Linked DNA regions of Pelodiscus sinensis. The protein of the gene in region 2 interacts with the protein of the main gene of each other region in a pairwise test. Links are inferred from orthologs where the notes say so. Each region holds a gene or a part of one and is shown on either strand. Other genes may lie near its edges.

What was found.
Region 1: the proteins of LRRC7 (region 2) and NQO2 interact in a two-hybrid assay, tested with the Homo sapiens proteins (2 studies listed by BioGRID). The two-hybrid records come from large-scale screens. The link is inferred for Pelodiscus sinensis from reciprocal best matches to the Homo sapiens genes LRRC7 and NQO2.

What each region holds. Positions count from the first base shown.
Region 1 is NC_134712.1:115,499,143-115,508,114, forward strand, and holds the start of NQO2 (ribosyldihydronicotinamide dehydrogenase [quinone]), read right to left. Parts: upstream 3,410-8,972; 5' UTR 3,255-3,409; intron 317-3,254; 5' UTR 162-316; coding exon 155-161; intron 1-154. UniProt on the Homo sapiens protein: The enzyme apparently serves as a quinone reductase in connection with conjugation reactions of hydroquinones involved in detoxification pathways as well as in biosynthetic processes such as the vitamin K-dependent gamma-carboxylation of glutamate residues in prothrombin synthesis.
Region 2 is NC_134719.1:20,439,461-20,448,391, reverse strand, and holds the start of LRRC7 (leucine-rich repeat-containing protein 7), read right to left. Parts: upstream 3,329-8,931; 5' UTR 2,367-3,328; intron 1-2,366.

The DNA.
Region 1 (8,972 bases), on a different chromosome or scaffold from region 2:
GTCCGATGGGACTTGAAGTGCCCTAGTTGCTTTAGAAAATGTTACCTTACAGCCCCATTCAAGCACCGATGGAGCTAGGACATTTCTGATCCTAATGTGCATAGCTCCAAAATGACTCATTCTCTCAATACCAAAGAAAATGATCTCTTTTTACCTGCCATTTTACACAAAGCCTTTAACAGTCTTCCTCTTTAGAACATCCAATATTTCCTGTAGCAGACTCCCAAAAGAGATGTGCTCATTGGAGACACGCCATAACCGCGAAAAAGGCAGGCTTTTCCTATCGGCACCACCTTGCTGAAAGTACTCTCTGAATCTGAAACAAAAGGATGCAGGATGCAAAAGAATAATTAAGAAACAAGTGTGGATGTATAGATTGTACTGTAAGTACAAGGAGCTATATGATGGTGTAGAGTGTGAAGATTTTATCAATGTAATTTTTGGATGGCTGCTTTAGTCACTGGTGGTGAAGTGACAGGTAAGTTATATACATCATATTCACATATAGATACATATTGGGGCAGAAGGATTGGTATGCTCTGGCTACTTACAATGCTCCAGCAAAACATCTATAAACCAGTGTTTCTCAACCTTTTTTTAAATAAAATACCTCTTTAAAAAAATGGTAAGTACACCCAGTACATAGTTTTCAGACAAATATTTTCTCTACCATTGCAACACATTTGTTTAAACAACTTAATTGTAGCCAGGTGGGCAATGCATGTTTTGGATGTAAAAAGTACAAAAATAATAAGACACTGAAACTTAAACCAAAAATTCAGTTCTCCAAATTTCAGTTGTGGTGACGTACCCCCCAGACTTCTCTCAAGTACCCCTAAGGGTTGAGAAACACTGCTATAAACCCACTTTAACTGTCTGGTTAAGCTAGATTTATAGCTGCTTTCATGAGTGTCTACACAACAATGAATTTTACTACTTTGGAAGGCGCTAATTCTTCTAATAGCTTCTAACAACATTTCAACATAATTTCTCTCAAACTCTCCATGCCTGAGCATATAGTATATTTATATTAAGTACTCATTGAATTGTTTAATCACAGGTACATATTGAAACCTGCATTTCAGTTTCAAACATCCGCCTTTAAAACACTAGAATCCAGCCTGAAGGCACTTTGCAACCAAATCACTGACTTGTGGGGTCAGAGTATAACCACTTCCTCACCCTGGTGAACATTCTCACGCAGATACATGTAGCTATAACTGCTCATCAAGATGTGTTAAAAGTGTTACCAAATGCCCCTTTGTGTTTTCCTGTAATTAAAATTATAGACTAAATGGATGCTATATATTGTGAAAAGAAGCCTTATCCTGTGAATAGCTTCACTCAAATCCATGGGACTACTTACAGAGTAAGATACTTTTCATTATGAGTAAGAATCACAGACTGGCCCAGAAAGTCCTAATTTGTATATGTTACTTGTATTGTCATAGCCTGTAATAAAACATTTTAAACTGATCTCCATGAAAGCAGATGGGGTTCTGACTTCTGCTCACCCTGTTTTTCTTCCCAGTTAAAATACCACAATAGGGCAAGCATGTGTGTGTGTGCAAGGTTGTCACTTAGTGTAAGCCCAGTACATCTGTTTTATAGATCTGCAGAGACTTTCCTAAGTTTTTCCAACCATCCTCTTGGCACCCTGGACACTTCTGTTGTGCAACGTTTGCATGTCACCTGCTGCCTGGCTCCTTTTGTGTGTAAAGTTCAAACCCACCAGCACCATTTCCAACCCAACCTACTGCACTGTTATAAAGATTCTTCATCTTCGCTGCAAAAAAATGTGTTGTGTTTTTTTACATGAAGGTACAAGTGACAATCGAGTTTGCCAGTTTTACTTAGACTCATTCCCGGAGGTTTCAGCACATGACCATCTTTAATTAAAGATCAATATTAAATTCCTGGAGACCCCAGGCCAGCCTTAGAGACTCTCAGTTTCAATATCACAACATTTTGCTGTGAAGACACAGCCCCAAGCTGTCTGTACAGTGTGTAGCACATCACATGAAAGCTGCATGCATCTCAGGCTTGGTCTACACTACAGAATTAGCTAGGCAGTTTATGTTGACATAATTATGTCAGTGTCTACACTACAGCCTTGCTCCAGCTGTTGTAAGTGACCATCTACCCCCACATAATATTGCCACCTCCAGGAGAGGCAGGGGCTTATGTCAGTAAAGTTAGGGAACACAGTGTCCATGTAGACACTGCATTACTTCATCAGCAGTTGAGTGTCACTCTTGTCAATTTCATGGCTCCATGCATGGATGGTGGGTAGAATAAGCCAGGGGAGGCTAAGCCACCCCAAACAAGATGTGGCACACCTCCCTTTGGAAGCATGCCACAGGCCTGCTGCCTCTAGTGTGCTGCCCACACTCTGCCCTAGGCCTCGCTCCTGCGTCGCACTCTTCTCCCATGGCTCTGCCCACGCTGCTCCTCTTCTTGCTCCCTGTCTGTCTCTCCCCTCTTCCAAGGCCCCATCCTCACTCTTCCCTCACAGACATCTCCCCTCTCCACTCCTCACACCTCTCCAGCACTTCCCCTGTAGTTCCCCCATCTTTGCTCCTCCCTCACAGCCCCTCCACCCACTACTCATGCCTCTTCACCCCGAGAGGGAGAGAGGAGTGGGTGGCAGGTGGGGAGGCCTCTTAGAGGTGCAGGTGGAGAGAGGCATGATGGACAGGTTGTGTGGGGACCTTGGGGGATGTGGCCCACCAGGGCTTGGGGCAGAGTGGGGGTTGGCAGTGGAGCAGGGGGCAGGACCATGCTCTGAGCATGGGTGCCTCCCCTTCTAGGGAGCTTCTAGCACTCAGGGCCCACCTCCCCAAATATGGAGGTCATGCACCACCCACGCTCCATGCCTGGGCCGGTAGTGGGCTCCTGCTACAGGCCAGCAGCACTCCATTCCAGCTGCCTGATCCCAGCTGGGCTACTGCTTGTGCTCCCTGCTGGAAGCTCTGCTGCCCCCAGGATACCCGATCCCAGCCAGGCTGCTGCTCAGGCTCCCCATGCCCAGCTCCCCACTCCTAGAGGCAAGAGGCCCTGGCTTCCAGCTACCCTGCCCCACCACTGCTGCTCTTCAGGTGGAAGCCCTCCTGGTAAGGGCACACCACTGACAGAAGAAGGGTGTTGTAGAGACCAGCTACCACAATAATTACTACAATGGCTGCAAAGTCGGCCTAACACGTCAGCTGCAGCATAGAGATGCCCCCAGTGTTTGCAGACTGGGCCTTTCTTACCTGTATCTGGGTCACAAGGAAAGAAGCTTGTTCCTGGATGAAAGTGAAGCTGCAGCTCTTTGGAAAGGACTGTGAGAGAGAGAGAGGCATGCAGCCAGTCCTGCCTGCAAATGAAACTCCCCCCTGTTGGGAGCCCTCTCCCTCTCCCTCTCCCTCCTTTCAGTGTTACAGCTGCAGAATTAGACCAATAGGAGGGTGTTAGGCACACACTCCCCACCTCCACGAGTGCCAGCAGGGACCCACATGATTGGCTCCCTATTGATTCTGCTGATTCTGTCTAGCTCCTGTCTCTCTGCCCCCTGGCAGGTCACCAGAGGCTCTCCCCACCCCCTGGTTACTGGGCCCACACTCAAGGCTCTTGGAGCTCTGCTGATTCACTCTGCAGGCAGCCTCCTCCAAGGGATGCATGATCTTCAGCAGCTGTGACACAACTTTAAAGGCAAGGATGTGAATTTCCATATTGCCCTCTGATCCCAGACCCCCTGGAAGGCTCCCTAACATACCGGCTCCCGACACACAACTCTTCATTAGGGGTAGATCAATCCATGTTCCCAGCTTCACAGACGAATGTGGGTTAGTGGTCCTCAACCCAAAAAAGGTTGCTCACCCGTGATTTAAATGTTAAATTCTCCTTTTGATCTCTGAATTAACAGAATACAGCATAGACTGGGACTGTGTGATTACATCGTTAACCTCTAACAATACATAGATAAACACACACAAAAAACCCCACAAATATTATTTACTGATATGTCTCTAACCATTGAATCTGGGTCATTTACCCTGGAATGTACTTAACTTTTTCTTGCTACGTGTCACTGCTGAAATATTAAGTAAGAGGCTGGATGCTAAGGTCCTTGCTTATTGACATAACGGGAGGTTGTGTGGCCTACTGGATAATGCCCTCGACTGGTACGCTAAAGACTTGGATTCTATTCACAATGCTGTCACTGGTATGCTGGGTTAACTTTGACAAGTCACTTCTCACCTCAGTTTCCTCATCTGTAAAATGGTGATAATGATACCTCCCTTTGTAAAGTGATTTTGAGATCTGTTGATGAAAGGCACTACATAAGTGTTATTTATATTAGTGTACTGAAGGCAATTGGAGTTCCTTTGAGGCACACTGAATAAAATAATGGATCTGGCTTAAAGTCCTTAAAAATCGTATCTATTTTGTTTTTAGCTTATGCAAACTAGCAAGCTGAAAAGTATATTTTTTTCTTTGTGGTGTGTATACACTCTAGATCAGAGGTCAGCAGCCTTTTCAAACCAAAGAGCCAAACTACATCAACATTCAGAACAAGTGGTCAACAAAGAGCCGTACAAGAATACCCATTTACATGACTTAAAATATACAACTTAATATTATTGATGACTGACATGATGATTAATAGCATAAAGTAAACATTTTACTCAGACTTCATTTTATGGGACTTCCGCTGCTGCTGGGTATGCAGGAGTCCAGGTGCAGGAGTCTGCAGGTTGCAGGAGTCTGTGGCGGTGGATGTGGGGGTTCAGAAGTCCAGGTTGGGTTGTATGAGGGTCTCAGAGCAAGGCATTGGGGCGTGTGGGAAGTGCCAGAGGCAGGACGGGGCACTGTGGGTGGGAAATAAAGTAAGTGGAAGGGTCTTGGGCCGGATTACTTTAGCTGGCTGGGGCTAGGCTGCTGCACCCAGGCAGCAGTGGCTGGACAAGGGGCTGGGCCAGGAAGGCCACCGCAGGATCGTGGCCTCCCCTCCTACCCATGTCACAGCAGAAGGAGAACCGCCACCAGCACTTCCTGCAGCCAGATGGGGGCTGGACCGCGGGGCCTGCTCCAGGTTTGGGGCTAGGGACAGGACGCTATGGCCGGATGGGGTCTGGCATTGTTGGCCAGAATTTATTTTAAATAAAGTAAAATATTATGTCCAACGCTAAAGGTTTCAACATTGTCTTTATTTATGGCAGGGGTGGGGAAACTTTTTTGTGTCAGGGTTCACTGACCTACAGAAAAATCAGTCAGGGACCACACAAGTGAGAAGCAAAAAAAACCCTCCAAAACCCCCCAAACCTCACTGATGTGTCCCCCAACTGAAACACCTCACTCCCTGGTGCTCCATCCCCATCGTTGAGTGAGGGCAGGGAGAACTGAGGTTCAAGGCCTCTTCAGGCCAGATTAACTCTGCTGGGGTTCCAGGGTTAGAGGATTTTGTGGGCCCCCCTAGGTCCTGGATGCGGACAAAAATGAGGGGTTCAGTGTGCAAGACAGGGCTGTCGGTGAGTGGGATAAGGAAGGGGTGCAAGAAGCGGGGAGAGGGTGTGAGGTAGAGTGCAGGAGCAAGCTGGGAGTAGGGTGCATAGCCAGGAGAAGGAGGCAGGAGCAAGGGAGAGTGCAGGAGCAGGCTGGGGGGCAGAGTGTCTGGCCATGAGGGAGGGTGCAGGAGCAGGGGAGTATGGAGGAACAGGCTGGTGGTAGGGTGTGTGGCCAAGGGCAGGGAGGTGAAGGAGCATACTGCGGGGCAAGGTGTCTGGCCAGGAGGGAGGTCCAGGAGCAAGGGAGGGTGCAGGAGTGGGCTGGGGATATGAGGTCTTAGTGGAGGGTGTGTGTGAGTGGGCTGGGGGTGCAGGGTCTCAGCAGGGTGGTGAGTGAGGGGGCAGAGGGTGCAGGGTCTGATTTGGGAGAAGAGAGGGGCACTTACTTGCTTTTGCACCGCTGCCAGCACCATTTCCCAGGCATGGCCTTCTGCTACTCCCATTGGCAGGATTCTCCAGGAAGCACATCCATGCGCTGCTGTCCCCCAGCTCGGGGAAGGAAAAGGAAGCAGCAGCATGTGGAGCCGCTTCTAGCTCTGCTTCTTCCCTGCAATCTGGATCTGACAGGGAGGCACAGGGCTTCCCCCCCACCTCCCACAGGAAGCCAGTCCTGGTGCTCCAATTTTTCAGGGGGGTCGCAAGGCTGGAGTGCCAGCACAGGCTCCCTGTTGAAGGGGGGGTTGAGCTCGAGCTGCAAGGAGCCATATCTGGCTCCCTAATGAGCCATATTTGACTTGAGAGCCATAGGTTGCTGACCCTTGCTCTGGCTGATGTAAAGGTAGGGAAACTAAAGGAAAGCTGCCAGTATGGTATATCCTGTACCAGGGGAGGGGAGCAATAATATATTAGAAATGCATCTTTCCTCTTTCCATACATAATAATATTTCAAAAAGATCATGTCTCCTTCGTTTCCCTCCCTTCATTCCTTGCCCTGAATAATAGGGATGGGTTAAAAAAATTTCCTATTTGCCCCTAGCAAAAAATGTTCTAAACGCATGCTATGGCTCTGTCAGGGCATTCATGGAGAATGCTGCTTTATCATTCTGCCTGGGGCTGCTTCCCTTCTGCCCTTCATCTATGCTTTGTGCCTTGATCCTGTAACTGACTCTGCACAGGCTGACTCCTCTGGCCACTTATATAACCCCTCTGACTTCCGTGACGTAACATGCAGGTGCACCTGGGCAGAACCAGTGAGCGGATCTAGCCCTTAAATCAGTCAGGGAGTCAGGGGCTGCACACAAGTGAGGGGCCTGGGTGGGGCCCAGGCTAGTAGATTGTGTGCTACAGCCAGCTGGGGAACAGCTGGGGGGCTGGAGCACTAGTGTGGGCTCCCCAGTGCTGGGGGGGGGGCAAGTGAGCCTTGGGGGCCAGATTCAGGCAAGCTGGGAGCTGCATCTGGCCACCTCTGCCTTAAATGGTAAGGTATTTGATACAGGGGCTGGCCCAGACCCTCAGCATCTAGCTGACGTTTTAGGCTTATAAGTCCTCCTGATAGGTGCCATGATAGTTTTAAAGATATCATTCAGCTGCTGCCTAACCCCTTGGGTGTGTAAGTCCTCTAGGCATGTAAGCTTCTGTTAGTCAGCATTTGCTAAGCCACCCTACACCCAACAGGCAGCTTGGAGTCCGCAGCCCTGAAATGGGTTTCCCAAGCTAGACGGGAAAGCTTATCTCACCAGCATGACCCAGTTCAGTAAATGTGCCCTGTGCACGTCTCAGACCTGACACCTGTCCTACCCCACAATGGTAGGAAGCTGAACCTCACCATACAAAGACAGCTGGGGGCACAGGGAAACGCAGGGCAAGTGTGAGAGAGGTGTTGGGCATGAGCAGGAGACAGAGGGGGTTTCAGTTGCTATTCCTAGGCCTACTTCAGTGGCTTAACTGCTCCTGAGTGATGAGAGGTGCATGTCTATCTCTGCTCCAACAGCCAGGCCCATTAGGTCACCTGTGTAGGTGCCTCTCCTCTCCCTTCCCTCCTGCTTGGCATTACACTCCTGGCTAACTTTGGCTGCTCCCCATGCAGCTTGCTGATTTCTGAGGATCCCTGTTCATTCTAGCATTGTTGTCGTCGTCATCAGCTCTTCGGTCTAGCAGCGAAAGCTATAACATGAACCAATGGCTGGATGATGAATCTAGACAAATTCCAACTGGAGCTAAGATGTAAATATTTACCAGTGAGAGTTGGACCAATTTACCAACCTCATGCTGAATTCTCCTTTACTGACAATTTTAAAATTTAAGATCAGCTCTAGGAATTCTCTTGGGGCAGTTTTCTGGACTGTATTACACAGCAGACCAGACCATATGGTCACAATCTACGAACCTCTGGGAGGCCTGGGTACAGGGGCGGATATAGGGCAGGGCGAACGGGACGGCCGCCCCGGGCCCCGCGCTTCAGAAAGCCCCGCGCATGCGCTGTGGCAAAGGGGGGGCCCCACGGAATTATGCTGCCCGGGGCCCCGCAAAACGGTCATCTGCCCCTGCCTGGGTAGCTAACTTGGGGCTGAGGATTCCACTAGCATTAGGGAGACAAAGTGGAGGGAGGTCATGTCTTTTATTAGACCAGCCTCTGTTGGGGAGTGAAACAAGCTTTCGAGCCACACGGCGCTCATCTTCACCAACGGAAGTAAAAGATGGAACCTCACCCAGCTTTTGTCTCTCATATCCTGGAACTAACAAAGCTACTGCAAACAATGCCACTAGGTGTCAGGCCAGTAGGGTATGTCTACAATGCAAAGAAATAACAATAAAAAACCCAGCAGCAGTGATTCTCAGTGAGTCTGGCTTGCTCTATGGTGGGAGGAAAATAGTAGTGCAGATGTTCTGGCTTAGGTCAGAGCTTAGTCTCAGAGATTTCCCCTCGTATCTCCCTTGCTGGGTTTCAGAGCTCAAGCTTCTGCCTGAGCGGAAACATCTACACTGCTATTTTTAGCTCTATAGCACAAGCCCGAATCTACACACCCGCATGGTGAGACTCGCTGCTTCAGATTTTTAGTTTACATATTGTTTTGTAGTATAAACGTACTCATGCAGATTAGATGTTGGTACACTGGGGGGAGCATGCCCTAAATGCCTTTGAAGATCTCGGCCTTTGTCTTTACATTTGCCCCTAGTGCATGTAGCACAGTTAGAATTATGTTAATCATACCCAAGAATAAACATTTCTATTACTTGATCTTTATAAAAACATTACAAGCATTTCATAATTAACCATCAGAAGGGAGGCAAGGTGAGACAGCTAACTATTTACTAATTTTTCATTCTTTGCAGTGCTTGCTTCTCAAGACTGCAAGCAGAGAGATCAAAACAAGAGCTGTAAAGCCCCAATCCTGCAAATACATGTGTGCATTTAACTGTCCAGATGAGGGTATTCCCATTGAATGCCTTGAAAGTAGTCACAGGTATAAAATTAAGTGTATG
Region 2 (8,931 bases):
CTGCTTTCATTTACCCCAGGGTAAAATAGGAATCTTCCCTCTGCCTCATTGAAGCCAGTGGAGTTATGCCAGTATTAGAGAGCTAGGCCCATTGAACCAACATTAGGGTTATCCTGCTCCCAGAGAAATCAGTGGTGTTTTGCTACAGATTTTAATAGTAATAAGTTTTGGTACATACTTATTTTCAACCTCTTGGAATTATAAGAAACCAATCAGCTAATATCCTGAACACATCAAGCTTCCTCAGACTGGTTACTGTTTAAAGACACTATTGCTTTAGAATAGAGATGAGGAAAGTCAAGCCATATAGGAAATAAATAAAGCCTATCTTTCTCGAAAGACAGTAATATTAGTATTTCAAAATGATTTCATCACAATCATTAGAGATTCAGCAAGAGATAAGATGTGAAAATTGGAAAGGGCACACACCTTTACAGGGGGATTGCTGAGCATAATATCTTATTTCATAAGGTCAAGAGGTGATGACAATGAAAACACACCTTTGCCACAAATATACATTTCTTTACCCTTTTAAAATGCACACTGAGTAAGAAAAAAGATATCTACACTGTATATTCATAGGCTTGATCCAACAAAATAATTCCCAGTGTCTTCCCTGATTCAGGTACCAAATGGTTTGCTTTCATTATAATACACTCAATAATGCATCTAACTGTGTCCAGAAAGTTGGCTTTAATAGCCCTTTACCCTTAATTCCTTAGTAGGAACACTGGGAATACTGAACCAATTATTACAGTCTGTGGTAAAGGCCTACAGAGAGCTTACAAGCCCCTCAGGGATTTATTCTGATCTTATTTAGCCAGGTGTACCTTAGGACTAACTCATGGGCCAAATTCTTCCCTGATGTTACAGTATTCACTGAGCCAAGTGCATTTCCCCAATGTAACTAACAGAGTTACACAGGGACATATTTGCCCTAATGAAGTTATAGTGATGTAAATTAGCCCTAGGTCAGCCTCCTCCCCCCAGTATCTTTACCTAAATTTTGCACAACCACAAGCATACTGTTGTGAGCATTAGGTTAGAATTCTGATTCAGAAGGAATCAAGAAGTCAATCTCTTTACTGATGTTCCTAAAGAAGAGGTACCCGAATCAAGAATCATGTTGCTCTGGTTTCAGAAAATGATTTAATTGGTGGAATGAGGAAAGACACTGGTGGGTGATAAAGATTTATTTCATTGTGACCAAGTCAAAATATTGAAATGTCAATATATATTAAACAATTTTATATTAACCCCCCACACACATTTTCACACCACTGCAACTACAAAAAGGGCTCTCTTTGAAATAGGACTTCAGACTCCTTGAGGTTCCTGACATCACATATGTGATCACCAATGTAAGGCAATTTCCTTATTTAAAAAAACCCACCTGATTGTGCTGTCATTTTTGCTTTTTCTCCTCCCACTCTATTCTTCTGGCATAGTACTAAAATAAATGCCCTGTCCTCTAACTAGGCATGGAAACAGAAGGAAGCAGCAGTGAAATTTTACATGGAGCTCATCAGCTTTTGCCCATGGAACACATAGGCAGTTGGGATACATGAAATTTAGAAACAACCAGCAGTTCTGTGGCACCTAGAGATTAACAAATTATATATATAAGTATCATGAGCTTTGGTGGGCGAAATCACTGATGGAATTTAGAATCACTGAAAATGGACCTTTTATGCCCTGAAAAATATAAAAATTCCCTTTCCTTCTTCAAACAAGAATGTGCTCAATAAATCTCGTCTCCCACAGTCACGATCAAGCAGGTTCTGAAGAAAAGAGGCTTGGAGAGCAGCAGCAAATTTCCCTCTCCACAAGTGTCAGCGGTGACTGCGGGTAGGGAAGAGATTCCATTGACGCCCCTCTCCGCCCCCGCCCTCCTCCCCTTCAAGAGACTGCCCAGCATTTTCTTTCCACATCTGAGCCCACAAGAGCAACCCCGCTCGGGAGCAGGACCGTCCCTTCAATTCTCTCCCGGTTCCCTGCACATGTGTTTTGGGGCGGAGGGGAGTAAAGCGGTACAGGGGCTGCACAGATGAGGTCTTCACAGCCATTCTTTGCAGTCATAGAATCGCTCCTTTCCTGACACAATTTCATCTGGTACCATGGCCCCCAAAGGAAACCGCTTCCCTTCCATCCCTCCATCCCCGCTGCCGGCAGCACATCCAGCGAGCAGCGAAGGGAGCTGCTCCCTCCAGGTTCCCCGCTGCCCATGCAAGAGTCTGGAGCGTAGCGCGCTGCTGCTGGCGCTTCCCTGGTACATCCACGCTCCCGCCCCTCCACCCCCCAACCCACACGCCGCTACAAGGGGAGCACGGCGGCTGCCCCTTCCTCCAAGGCAGGCTCATACTCACATTGCAGAGCGGAGTAACAGTCCATCGGTCTCCGCTGCCCCGAGACAACCCGCGGGGATGGTTATTCCTAAGGTATCGGGGTCCACCGTTAGGAGGGGGCGGGGGGAAGGAGAAAGAGAAAAGGGGAGGGGGCGCTTTGTGGCGGGAGATCCCCCGCTAGACCATGATGTACGTGCCCTTCAGATGAACAGCTGGATGTGTCTCCACGAGGCGAAGAGTCGCGCGAGGGAAGCGCTGTGGCACAGGCAGCGTGTCCGCTGGAGTCTCTCTCCTCTCCCACCCCACAGAGCGGCCAGCGACCCAAAAATAAATAAAATAAAGAATAAAAATCTTCATCCAATAAATCCCTGGGAAGCGCGGAGGAGGGGGGGGGCCGGGCCGCCCCCTCCCCACGGTACCTGTCAGTGGGGGGTGCGGACGCGGGCCTCCACAAGGGCGTGCGGGGAGATCCGCTCCGGCTCCCGCTTGCAGAAGGGGCGGGGGGAGGCTGCGACCCGCAAGAAGACGATTCCCTCAGAGCCGCGGCGAGTCTTTCCCGCCCCGCCTCAGTGCAGCAGCTTCATTCACGCACAGGTGCAGTCATTGCGGGCGGGCGGGGAGAGGCATGTGGCTGCTCCCGCCAACCTGTCCCCTCCCCCGCTTGCCACAACGCCGCCGGGGGCCGCCGCGGCTGGACACCGACAGAGGTGGGCAGGCCGGGGGCCGCGCAGAGGCAGCGAGAGGCGATAACGCGCGAACGGCGCTTCCCCGGGCGGGCTGCGGGACCCGGCAGGAGCGAGCCAAGCAGCAGGCGCCGGCCGGCTCGAGGGAGCAGTGCCCGGAGCCGGCTCTCCGGCGCAGGAGGTGCACGGGCGGCAGCCGCCTCCTGCCAGGGCTGAGTCAACGGGAGAAGCCCCGGCGTTCAGCAGCCGCCGCCGCCGCCAGCCCCTCCCGCCCCCACACCATCCGCGTCAGAGCTCGAGAGGCTGCCGCTGCTCTAACGAGCAGGCTGCGTCCGCCTCTTCGCGCGCCTTTCGCCCGAGGCTGCGCCGGTAGAAGCACGGCCCCCCCCCCGCACCCCCAAAGGCTATAAACCCGCCTGCATCAGGACTATCTCTACCATATGGCCAACCCCCCAAATCCTGGCAGGGCACCCCGCCCTCCCCAGCTCGGCCAGGATTCTGCACTCCAGCCACTGCCCTCCCCCGGACCTGTTGCATCCTTCCACAGTCGGTCCCCTCCTACTATCTTCTCCTCCCTCCACATACGCTGCTCCCCCCATCATCCCTCAGACACATCTCTCCTTCCCCACATAGGCTGCTTCCCGCCCTCTAGCTCCTCCTCACGCACACCTCCCTGCCTAGTCCCCCACTGGCCAGTGCCACCTGTGCACCCCTCACATGGCCACTGCTTGCTTCCTCTCACTCTCGGTCACCACCACCCTTCATGGGTCCTACTCTTCACCAAGCTGCTGCTTCTTCCTCTCACTGTGTCCTCCAGCTTCCCACCTTCCATCACTGCTGTTTCCTTCACCCCCTAAGGAGCTCCTGGTCATCCTCCTCTCAGAGCTTCCTCCCTCCTTGTATCCCCATGGAGGTCCTTACTGCTTTCTCCCCACATTCCTCTAAACCCTACACCTTTGCTGCTGCCTCACTCCCTCCAGTCCCTCAAGAAAGGCTATAAATCCTCCTGTCAGGGTGGTCAAATATTGGAATAAATTGCCAAGGGAGGTGGTGGAATCTCCCTCTCTGGAGATATTTAAGAACAGGTTAGATAGACATCTGTCAGGGATGGTGTAGACGGAGCTTGGTCCTGCCTTGAGGACTCGATGACCTCTTGAGGTCCCTTCCAGTCCTATTATTCTATGATTCTATGAACCTCTAACAGACAGCAGGCCTGTACACAGGAATTTCTTTGTGGGGTGCTTTTTTTGTAAATGTGGACCTCGATTTTTTAAATATAAAGGAGTTCAAAATAGTCATGCAAGGAGTATGCATCAGAGAGGTTAATGAAAACTTTGAGTGGAAACACTGATTGTTAAAATGATTTTATTATAATATACAACAATCTATACAGTAATAAAGGTTTTATAGAAATTACCTTCTGGAATCATGGTGGGCAGCGCAGCTGGCATGGCTCCCTGCTCCCTTGCTGCTGCTCTACCTGCTTGGCAGGGCCAGTGCTAGATGAGTGCAGGTGGGGCATCTAGCCAGCATGGCCAGGATCGCGCTGCTTCTTGTGGGTGGGTGCACCATTCCTCTGGTCATGCTGCACTGCAATTAGCCCTGCCCACCCATCCCCCCACAACACAGCTCTCTCCCATTCCCCTAACACAGTGGTTCTAAAACCTTTTGGCCTGCAGCCCACCTGGCACAATGCAAATCTTTCCGCAGACCACCAGCTACTATTGGAAACTAGACGTTAATTACATAATTATGCCTGAGCCATATTGCTAGTGCTGCAGCTAGGGAAAGTGGTTTAATTTAACCAGTAAGACTGGAAATATTAATTTAAGTTATTAAACAGACTAAATGCTTCAACTTTCTTTTGTTAGCTTATCAAACTTCGTTTTAAATAAAGTAAATAATTTATGTCCAACACAAAACGGTTCCCTTGTTTTCTTTATTTATGGCAGGGGTGAGAACCTTTTTTGGGTCAGGGGCCTCTCCCCCACAGAAAAAATCAGTTGGGGACCACACAAGTGAGAAGCAACAACAACAAAAAAACACCTCCAAAAACTCCCAACTCTCACTGATGTGGCCCCCAACTGAGACACCTTACTCCCCTGGTGCTCCAATCCCACCAAGAGAGGGAGTGGGAGAGGGAGAACAGAGGTTCAGGGCTTCCCATAGGCCAAACTTACTCTTCTGGCGTTCCAGGGTTAGTGGATTTTGGGGACCCCCCAGGCTCTGGGGTTGGTACAAAAATGGGGGTTCAATATGCTGGACAGGGCTGCCAGTTAGTGGAATGAGGGTGCAGGTTCTGGGAGGGAGGTGAGGTGCAGGAGGGTGTGAGGGTGCGAGGTCTGAATGGGAGGTAGGGTGCAGGAGCAGACTGGGAGTAGGATGTCTGGCCATGGGAAGGGGGTCAGACCAAGGCAAGGTGCAATGTGTGGTCAGGAGGGTGGGTGCAGTAGTGGGCTGAGGATAGGGTGTCTGGCCAGGGGAAGTGTGCAGGAGCATCTCAAAAACATTCGTTGCTGTCGTTCAGAAAAAGGTTGTTCTCTACAGTATCGTGGACAGTTCCACAGATAGTTTGAAGACTACAGCCAAGACTTCAAATCTGAAGAATTATTCTTTGTTGAGCCTGTACATCAAACAGATGTTATATTAATGGACAATATATCATCTCAGTGGTTGGTATTGCTGAGGACTAACAAACTCATTTAAAGGTGAAGCATTCATACCTAGAATGGGTCACAATAGGCGTAGATCATACTGCCCATAATCCATGTTTATAAAATGTGTGGTCTCTTGACAAGTCACATAGAGGTGATTGTTTTGGTTTTGTTTGTTTGTTTGTTTGTTTGTGTGTGTTTGTTTGTTGCAGCTGTTTTAATCTGAATGTCCAGCAGCAATGAGGAGTCATTTGATAATCTGAGGGCAGATACCTTCAGGAGAGGGTGAGATTTTATGTTTTCAAACCATATTCTTCTTTCCACCCTTACCATCATCTCTTTTGCCTGAATTCAGTTTTAGCCACCTGGTTGTCTTGTCATTGTCACTGTAGAAGAATATCTGGGAGATGATGCCATCTGTGTTGGAGGAAAAAAGATGTATAGCAGTAGATTGTCTTCATACTGCTGGCATTTGAAACCATGCTGTCTCAAACCCTTCCCCTCCCCCATAGTTTCATGTAGAACTTTAAAAGGATGGGGATAATGATTCTCATGGAACCTCCCAGGTGAGCATTCCTGATGTAGAGGAGTTGCCTGTCTATCCCCCTACTGCACCATTGATCAGGAGCTACTAGAGATAAGCCTCTGTCCAGATAACCCTCTGTCCCAGCCCTGATCCCCTCCCCCCAAACCCAGAGCCCCCTCTGCATCCCATACTCCTCATTCCTGGTCTCATAAGAACGGCCCCCTGTGCACTCTGTTTGTGTGACAAACTGAGAGCGCTCACCTGAAGATCCCTCCCCAGCGTCAGATGAGGCCTGGAAGATGTCCTGGCTGACAGGCAACAGGGACAGGGTGACAGTGTCCGTCTTCTACTACTGTCCCTGGTCCTTCTCCTTCCCCTCCTCCTTTGAGCCGGGTGATGACAGCGGTCTTGAGGCCCCTAAGGATCTGTGGGAGCTCTTGATAGTAGGGGCAGGTGTGGGATCCTGCCCCTGAGTGCAACCTGCGCTCTCTGGCCCCGATGTGTCCCTGATGGAGTTCTTTGACCTTACTCTGGACCTGTTCTAAGTTCCGGGGTGAGTGTTCACACTCCGCCAGGGACTTGGTCATGTGCTCAAAGATGTTTGCATTGCAGTGCTTGGAGCAGAGATCCTGCAATGTCTCCTCCTCGGCCTACAGATCAAGGAGGGACAGAATCTCTGCTACGGACCAGGAGGATGCCCGCCTCTTGATCCCCCAGGTGGGTCCTGGGACCCCTGGGGTTGCTCCCTGTGAGGGCTAGAGGAGTCTCTGGGGTTTGTGGCTGTGCCATCAGAGAGCAGGCCTGTGGCAGGGAGATCCACGTGGTCAGAGTGCTGCTCCAAGTCCAGCTTCCTACCACAAGGCTTGACCAGGATGCCTGCAGCTTTAAGAGTAGCCAGAAGACAAGAACTATAGAGTTGTGATTACTTTGGACAAAGTAGCCACCAGGGCACCTGTGTTATTTCCTGGAGGCTTCTTCGACAGAAAACCGTCCTCCCTGTTCACACCCACCTGTTTCCGAAAGAGCTCTTTCAGAAAAGGCATTCTTCCTCATAAAAAGAGGAATACCACTGTCAGAAAAGCCCCTCTGTTCTTTCAATTTACTTTTGAAAGAATGTGATTGCAATGTGGACGTAATTCAAGTTTTGTCAGAAAAATGGCCGTTTTTCCAACAAAACTCTGTAGTGTATACATACCCCCAGAGATATTTATTGTTAAGTCACTTTTCCAGTGTATAGAAAGGCCCTTTCTAGCTCACACCTGTGGGAGTCTTACATAATTTGAGGCAGAGGCAATATCTGTAAACAAAATGGTGGGAGGGAGAAGCAGGAACTATTGAATACCAGGTGCAATTTGTGCATTTGAGAAGGTATTGAAGCATTTCAAAACAAATGTCACGATGGGCAGGGGTAGCAGAGAGAATTCATGTTTGCACAGAGCAGTGGCTTGCAAACTTTTTTTTCTTGCAACCCAGTTGAAGGGGGACCAAGAAGGGAGCCAGGATAGGTAGGAATGGTGTCCCTAACTTCTGTTTGTCTGGAAATGGATGACAGGAGAGGGCTCACATGATGATTACCTGTTGTGTTCACTCCCTCTGGGGCATCTGGCATTGGCCACTGTCGGCAGACAGGATTCTGGGCTAGATGGACCTTTGGTCTAACCCAGTATGACAATTCTTAAGTTCTTATGAGACCAGGAATGAGGGGTATGGGATGCAGAGGGGTAGAAAAGCTTTCAGGATTGACTATCGAAAGACTATTCAACTAATCATTCCACTGTGGCAGTCACATTACACCAGCAGCAGTTCCCAGAGCCATTCTTTCTTTGGAAGAGAGTCAAAGGCAGATTCTCTCCAGAGATTATGAGTGTAAGTGCACAAAGGAGCAGGAACAGACATTTTCATTAGGTGCAGAGTATCAACAATGCCTCTTTTGGAGTGATTAGAACCTCCAGTGGAATTAACCCCTTCCCATTATTGGTGTTCCTGGCAATCAAGCAGTTGAATTATGAAGACCTCCTGGACCAGCACACATGGTATTATTATTATAATAACAATAAAGAGATCCCTCTGGTCTCTTCTCTCACACACCTGTGTGATAAGAGCCAGAATGTGGCCCAATCACCTCATGCCAACCACATTCTGTGGAAAAAAAGAGTTTGGTCCTAGCAAACAGTTAGATGGGGAGGGGAGAGGTCTCAAAAAATTACACCCATGTCACCAAAAATTAGTAATTAACTAGCAGAGATAAAACCTCATAGAATCCGTTTCATGAGGTTGTGTTAGGGTAGATCAACTAGTGTATGCTTGCCTCCATCAAACCACAGTCACTGATACAAAATCAATTACTGAACAGTCTACTACCTGACAAATGATGCTTCTCTAGGCAGCCTTCCATTCTGTCTGTACAGGAGAGCCAGCCTTGATTTTGCACATGTCCTGGGATCCTACTAGTTACACATTGCACAGCTAAATAAATGACTGGCTATGCATAACATTTCTTTTCAGCAGCAGAGACCACTAGGGTGTGTCTAGACTTCATGGCTCCATCAGTGGAGCCATGTAAAGTAGTTTACTCGACATAGTCAATGAAGAGGGGATTTAAATAAGCCCCGCTTCATTAACATAAAAATGGCCACCACACTGTGCTGACAATCAGTTCATCCAGAACAGTGCGGCAGTCTAGACGCGCACGGTCGACAAGGGAAGCCTTTGTCAACTGCTCC